Nothobranchius furzeri: one gene and its partner. The protein of the gene in region 2 binds, or shares a complex with, the protein of the main gene of each other region. Links are inferred from orthologs where the notes say so. Each region holds a gene or a part of one and is shown on either strand. Other genes may lie near its edges. The genes, in order: brpf1 and kat6a.

Region 1 (4,558 bases), on a different chromosome or scaffold from region 2:
GCCTTATCTGTGATGTGTGCAACAGGAGAACACTGAAATGTTAAAGTTCCAAGTCCAAGCAAGAGACAGAAGTTACCAGGCAAAGTATAATTACTACAAACCACCTATCTGACTCTTTCAAAAGTTCTTTCAACTTGGCTAATACTCGGTGCACACTTATGTAAAAGGTTTTGTGCAATCACCCATTAAATTGGATGTTTTTTCCTTTTGTGATTTGTTGTTTTAATGCTGCACTTTACCAAGGTATTACAGTTGTGCATTTTGTTCCCATATGATGGTACAAAATACTAGTTTTCAATGTAGCAAAGAAGTGTTATTGCCTTGCTACAAGATGTGTTGATTATTTTATGAGCTGTTTGTGACGATAGCCTAACCTGTTTTATTTTGCATTTATTTTCAACATTGTATTGTGAAATTAACATGAAACTTGATGTGGGAGATTTGCACAACATATTGTCTCCATTTATTCTGTTGGGAGTTCCTTCACTGTATATAACAGGTTTCACCAAACTGTACTTTTTACCACTGACAAGCATGGCCAATATTTTCATGATCCGCAAAGCATAGGAACAGGAAAAGTGTTAAAAGTTTCAAGATCTCACATCTTCACCACACAAATGATTTCAGCATCCCAGTCCTGCCAAAGCTGTGACCTGTATAGCTTGTAGTATTTGTACATTTTATTTTGACTGTTGGAAGATAGCATTTGTGGAGCCGAGGTCACTTTATTGTATATTATTCCATCAATTCGGTTTGAATTGGACTTTTATAGGATATTATGCAGAGTCTTCTGCTTTGGTGAAATATTTCCAATTGTAAGAGATTTCTGTTCTCTGTAACTTGTATCTGGTATGTTCCACTTTTCCTAGCTGCTAACTGGTTGGAGAGCAGAGGAGGAAATGATGAATACAGGCATATTCATTTGGATGTAGTGATCATACGGAGAGCTGTAATGAGCGGAGGAGGAGCATTTCTGACACTGTTCCTCTGCACACCTCACTCCTTTTTGGAAATCATTGTCCTTATGATTATGCTCTGATTATCTTTGGCTGGTATTTAAACTGTGTGGGTTGCTTTTGCCTGCTTACCCCACTTTGTCCTGCTGCATTCTTATCACAAACTGTATGTTGAGAGAGAGAAATAAATATTTTGTGCTTGATGGTTTTGATTAATTATTGTGTGCACACCATTAGTGTAGCTGTTAGTCAATGCTGTTATAATTTGACAGCAGGAAGTCGTATCTTATTTACCTCTTCGCAGTTTTGATTTCATTGAATAAAACGATTTACACACTTTTTATTTTAAGTAAAGTTTAAACAATAAATTTCTGAGTAAAGGAAGATGATCATCTTTGATGGACAGACTCGTATACAGAATGATACTGGACCAAATTTGGAGTTTAATTTGTAACATTAACTACAACTTGTGTAAGAAAAGACAAATTAAAACTGAAAATTAGAGCCTGTGAATTACTTTCACCAAATCACTAATGAAGTGTAGGCAGACCAGAGAAGCCCTTAGGTTGGATGGTGATTTTGTGGAGCCGCCCACTCTACTTCTAACAACCAATCACGTAGCGTATTCAAATCCAAGCACCAATCAGAGCAGAGAGTTCAGCCCACTGCGTCCCTCCGTCTGATCCAATCTAAAAGCAGTCAAGCAAGCCTGTTTTGCGTGGCGAATGTGTCAATCCGCCTCCACGGCTAAGCGTTACAGTAATGGTTGCCCCTTTTGTTCAGCCGATTTACTAAATTATTCCCCACACAATGAAATTATATGGACGCGAAATTGTTCCATGAAAACGTTTCAATGTACCTATGCTTTCCGTGGCCTCATCTGGGACTATCTAATGAATTAAAATCGATCTGCAAGCCGTCTGAGCTGCTGTCTGAGGTGTCCGATGCGCGCAGTTTGCTTGAGGAACGTGCAGTAGTAAGTGTTTATAACGTTAGTAGCCGGGATATGTAGTGCTATTTACTAAATGGTTGCATTTGCGCATATATTGACATTCGGGAAATGTGAGAAGACACGATTCTGTGGTTGTTGTAATCCACCATAATAGCCCAATGTGTCCAGAAAACAAAGTGACGTTGGTGCAAAATAAGCGCTACAAAAACAAATAGCTGTATAGTGGTGACCTAACGTAAATGGTTCTTAGTTAAATTTGGTCAAAAATACCGTTTTCCTGTGGCAAAGCCTATAAAATAATAATGTTACGCTCTTATTTTGCTACCTTGTGTATGGAATCCACAGGGTGAGGTCAATATGGAGGGAAACGCTGGCTCTGAATAATTAATCAAACTGCAGTCTTTCTAACTTAAAAACATTAATTGGGTCATTTTATTTTCATATCAGTTGTATCAAAATGCGTTGTAGCGCTAACATAACATCTGCCTTTGTTTAGCTAACATTTGAGCACAGCTATAGTTCAACATTATCAACAAAATGGTACACCGGGTTAATATTATTACGGATAAAAGAATCCTCGATAAGAAAAATAATGTTTTGTGGCCTCGTGTTTGTGGAAACCTTGTTATTTGTGCTGTGTAGTTTGAAAAGGGACCAAATGTTGTTTACTAGCAGTTGTTAGCATGCTAGCTAATTGCGCCAGCTACAGTCATTGTTTGGGGGAAGCATGCTAACGTTAGCTGAACTAAAAGCATTATGTTTGAAGAGTTCCCTGCTAGCTAGCTATCATATATCCCTCTCTCTCCCTCTGTCTATTTCTACATTTGCAGTCTTATTTGTTTTATTCGATTACTCCAAACATGACAGAAATTCGTTAGGATGTTGTCTTAAAGTGCACCTGTTAGTGGGTTCATATATTTCCCTCTGGGAATTGTGTTCACATTTTATCCATTTACAGAAATATCCCAACAGCACTGTAGGGACACGTTATTACAAGTTACATGCGTGGAGCAATGCCATTCAAACAAAACTGATCTTACATGAAATTATCGTTAAATACTGTGGGTCATTATTGCATGGAACTATTTAGATTAAAATATTTTCTGTTGTGCTTGTTTTATTTTGTCTAGTGTAAAACCCTTTCCCATAAGTGATTTTTACTCACATTTGTCTCTTCAGCCTGGCAGAGTGAATATTACATTTTTCTCCAAAAGATTTAGTAGAATGAAGAGTTTAAATGCATGTATTTAATACGCAAGTAATTAAATTGTGTAAAAGCAGATAACTACTCTCAGAACTCTTAAGTAATTTTGTAGTTTAAACCCACAGCTTTTAATTTCTTGTCTCCTCATTGTTCCCACTTGTGTTCTATTCCAGATGTAAAGTTAAACCACACCTGGCCCTGAAGAGGCTGCTGGCGAGATGGGACTAGATTTTGATGTGAAGACATTCTGTCACAATCTGCGAGCCACCAAGCCGCCGTATGAGTGCCCTGTGGAGACTTGCCGGAAAGTCTACAGGAGCTTCAGTGGCATTGAGTATCACCTGTACCATTACGACCACGACAATCCAACCCCTGCTCAGGCCATGCCCCAGAAGAAGAGAAAAGGACGGCCTCCTCGTGCCTCCCTGGCTGGCTCAGGGGATACGGATGATGGTGGCGGCAATGGAGGACCTGGTCTTGAAGGGACCACGCCAGGTAGCCCCAACCGGTCAGAGCACTCCCAGTCCCCTGGAAGAGATGCCATGACCTATGCCCAGACGCAGCGCATGGTGGAACTAGAAATCCAGGGACGCATTCACCGCATTAACATCTTTGACGACATTGATGTGGTTTCAGAGGAAGACAGTGATGCAGAGGATGCACCACCGTCGGGAACTGGTAGCTGTGGGGGAGGGGTGTGTAACGGTAGTGACAGTGGAGCCGGAGGCAGCGAAATAGGAGGAAGCGGTAAAGACCGTTCAGAAATTCCGTCCTCAAATGGTGGAAAGGCCACCCCAAAGACTGGGAAGCACAAGAGTAAAGATAAGAAGAAGGATGGTTTATCTCACCATCACAACCCTCAATCTGGTCTTGCAGTCAAGCTCCCAGAAGCCGTGTTCAGAGAGCTGGACCAAGAGAGGCCCGATGCCCCACCCCGGCCTTTATCCTACTACAGGTTTAGGACTAAAATGATTATTTCATTTTATACTTGTTGTTTTGTTTACTTATATGAAAAAGTTCTGTAATATTGTCTTTCTACTGTGTTTTATTAGAAAGCTTCACTTCTCTATTTGACTCCTTTGTCTTTTTGTTATGTAAACTTGGACTTCAGGTATATTGAGAAGTCTGTGGAGGAGCTGGATGAAGAGGTGGAGTATGACATGGATGAGGAGGACTACATCTGGCTCGGCATCATGAATGACAAACGGCGACGTGACAGCGTGACGCCCATCCCTCAGGAGGTCTTTGAATACCTCATGGACCGCTTAGAGAAGGAGTCCTACTTTGAGAGCCACAACAAGGTACCTGTACTTATCTGTAGGGGCAAGAATAGTTCACTCACTGTAACGTAGCTGTTGACTGATGCATTCTGTTACTCCTCCCCTCAGGCAGACCCTAGCACCTTGATTGACGAGGACGCCGTCTGCTGCATCTGTAATGACGGCG
Region 2 (3,185 bases):
GACCCGGTTCTGTCAGCAGAGCGTGGGCAAAACATAAAAAGAGCTGAATGTTGGACTTACCCTGAGCTAGCCACCGATTGGCAACAGCTGCTCAGTTTGTGTGTGTGTGTGTTATCTGTTGGGAAGTACCAGAGTATTTACATCTACAAGTTCCAAAGTGGCAGAAACCTAGAAAATAATGCTACTCGTTTCATTTATGGATATATAATAGTAACACTAGTCTCTTCTGTGTCTTCCTGTGTTTCTGGTACAACACTGTCCGTGTGGGAAGACGGAGACTCCGGAAAGCGCTCAACACCAACTCCGCAGCACGAGTCCCTGCTCCCACACTCGTCTGGAATAAGTGAAAAGCTGTCCGACCCAGCAGCCTCACAAACGCTCGGGGGTTATTCTGAGAGCAGGAAGGTGTATTGCCATTATCAGAATGCCACACATATAAAGACCGAAGCATAGGAAGGGTCGGACTGCACACAAGTATTAAAAATAACCAACAGTCAACAAAAACAAGGACAACAAAAAAAAAAAGATTCAACATTATGTTTAAGGAAACGTCAGTCCGGCTACGCTGTTCATCGTCTCTTCTTCCAAGATAAGGCTTCCTATATCAGTTAAAAGATTGTGTGCATGGTTGGATATATTCAGACAGATTTTCTGTTCCAGTCTGAGTGCACGGTATTCCCTGGATCGGTTTTCTTGAGTTGTTTTTTCCTGGTCATTCATGTCCTCCCATTCTCCACCACTGTGTGAAGAGGAGAAACCTCCTACAGCAGTGTGAAGACTGATGCCCAGCTGGGGTCCATGTAGGGATCCAACCCAACCCAACCCAACCACAGCCAGCTGGAGGGGGGAGGGAGAAGCAAGTCCAGATAAAAACAGGACATGATTACTGCACAGAGAAACAGGAAACCCAAACACGCTCCATCTCCGTTTACCTACGCTCCCTGGTGCCCGCCTAGGCACTGGACGAGGTAGGAGGAGTACCGGACATTTAAAATACAGCGAGGGTTAACTCTGGCTCCACGTCTCCTACATCGGCTCCTGCCAGCTCATCTGCTCATGTACGGGGACTGTTTTGGGACTCCAGCGTAGCTGTGATGGGAGGGGCCAGTGTACATCATGTTGCTATGGTGATTGGGCTGCATAGCCTGTTGGGCATAACCCTGGCCTCCCATCATGCCCATCTGCATCTGCATGGGATACTGAGCTGGCTGGTTCATGTAAGCGGGGTTGCTGTGATAGCCACTGTTCATCATGGTTTGGGGCATCCGGTAGCTGGCCGACATGGCGTTCAGAGGTGTCATGTTCATGGAATTGTAGGGTGCCGGCGTGGGCATGAGGTTTGGCATCATACCGCGCTGCACTGTCAAGGTGCGCGGCGTGCCCTGCATGGCCACGACCCCTGAGCTGCGGCCGTAGAGCTGCTGCTGGTGCGGGGCCAGCTGCTGAGTGGCTTTGGACCGATTGGAGATGTGACCTTTGACCGTAGCCATCTGGGTCTGCAGCCGCTGCGTGTGGGGGGGACCCAAACTGATGTTGGTGGCTGGCATGTTGCACTGCAGCTGCAGCGAACCAAGGTTCATAGAGCCAGAGCTAAGGTTAGGAGGTCCAGTCATAGCTGGCTGGCCCTGAGGAAGAGATGCGTGAGGGGAGGGGGCAAGCCCGGGGTTGGACAGGGAAACGCTGGTGGCGTAGGAGGTCACGGAGGCAGAGTGGGAGTAGGGCATGGCATGAGGGTCCATGATGGTGTTGGTCAGCTGTTGGAGTTTGGCCAAGCTGAATGTTGCGGTGGACTGGGGGTAGCCTGTGGTACCAAAGTCCTGACCCATACGCTCGTAGAGGGTGCGTCCCCCTCCTCCACTACCGCTTTCCGTCATCTCCATGATCATGGGTGTGGATGCAAAGCCATTACCCATGCTGCACTGGGACAAAGCCTGTTGCTGTGGGGGTGGTGGGGCGGTGGGTGGGGGCTGAGGGTTGGGGGCTTGTTGCTGCTGAGGAACTTTCTTCTGGGACTGTGGCTGCGGCTGCTGGTTGGTGCTGGGGGGCCTCTCGATGACGCTGCAGCTCTGAGGGGACTTGATGCCACAGCTGGGAGTGTTGGAGGGTGGAGGGGGTGGTGGAGGCTGGGGCACAGCACTGCCCACATTACCAGAAGCTGGGCCCCCGTTGGGCCCTGGTCCTGTTTGCTGAATGAGACTACAGCTGCCCATGGCCAGCTGGGAACCCCCGTTTCCTGCTGAAGATGTGAGGCTGGGAGTTTGGACAAAGGAGCAGCTGTTGGTCTGAGAGGAAGAGGATGGGGTGGCTGAGGTGGAGGAAGAGGACGATGAAGACGAAGCCGTGGGAGCTGGAGCTCCCACAGCAGCCGACATCCCTCCTCCATTACCCCCATTTCCTGTTCCGTTGCCTCCACCACCCATGGTGGAGTCGTAGCTGCTGGGGTTGTCGTAGTTTTCTGTCGTGCTTTCGATGCTGCCGAGGTCGCTGAAGCCGCTGTCCACAACCTGCTGAGAGTGGTCAGGCACAGACGGCACATCCATCATGGGAGACGTCTCCATGTTCTGCTGGGAGGGGGCAGACAGGGAACTGGGATGCTCTGGTGTGATCTGGGTGTAACCACTGCTGGCAGTGCTGCTGGCTCCCCCTGATGCTGTGGGACCAGGCGTTCCTCCTCTCTGTCCTGCTGATGTTGCGTCCACAATGCCAGAGGACATCCCGGGGCTGTTAGCGGAGTGCACAGACTGACTGGGCAGAGGTGGCACTGGGGCGTTAGGGAGGGGGCTGCTGTGTTGCGCAGTGCCACACTCCTCCGCTAAAGCGAGCGCCTCCTCTTCTGGCTCTCCTGCATGGCTGTAGCTCTGCAGGGTGCGGCAGGCAGCCAAGGTTTCCTCGCAGTCTTGGTAAGCGCCGTGATGCGGCTGCGGCTCAGCCTCTTCGTCCTGGGCTTCCCCCTGCGTCAGGGACTGGACCGCCTGCATGGTCTCCAGGTCCAGCTCGTTGGAGTGCTGATGTTGGTGATGTGGGTGATGGTGTCCCAGCTCCTCCTTGAAGTCTGAGTGCGGATGAGGGTGGGAGTGTGGTTGTGGGCGTTGGGGCTCCATCAACATGGTGACATCTTTGTCGTCTGGGTGTAGAGGCTGCAGCTGCATGGGTTCTGAAGGAACAGACATGGCCGTGACAGTTTC

What was found.
Region 1: kat6a (region 2) and brpf1 share a complex: the UniProt entries of both Homo sapiens proteins name them as parts of the MOZ/MORF complex. The link is inferred for Nothobranchius furzeri from reciprocal best matches to the Homo sapiens genes KAT6A and BRPF1.

The regions. Positions count from the first base shown.
Region 1 is NC_091755.1:57,355,575-57,360,132, forward strand, and holds the start of brpf1 (peregrin), read left to right. Parts: upstream 1-1,757; 5' UTR 1,758-1,932; intron 1,933-3,285; 5' UTR 3,286-3,330; coding exon 3,331-4,067; intron 4,068-4,223; coding exon 4,224-4,413; intron 4,414-4,500; coding exon 4,501-4,558. UniProt on the Homo sapiens protein: Scaffold subunit of various histone acetyltransferase (HAT) complexes, such as the MOZ/MORF and HBO1 complexes, which have a histone H3 acetyltransferase activity.
Region 2 is NC_091757.1:30,182,388-30,185,572, forward strand, and holds the end of kat6a (histone acetyltransferase KAT6A), read right to left. Parts: coding exon 1,047-3,185; 3' UTR 821-1,046; downstream 1-820. UniProt on the Homo sapiens protein: Histone acetyltransferase that acetylates lysine residues in histone H3 and histone H4 (in vitro). Component of the MOZ/MORF complex which has a histone H3 acetyltransferase activity. May act as a transcriptional coactivator for RUNX1 and RUNX2.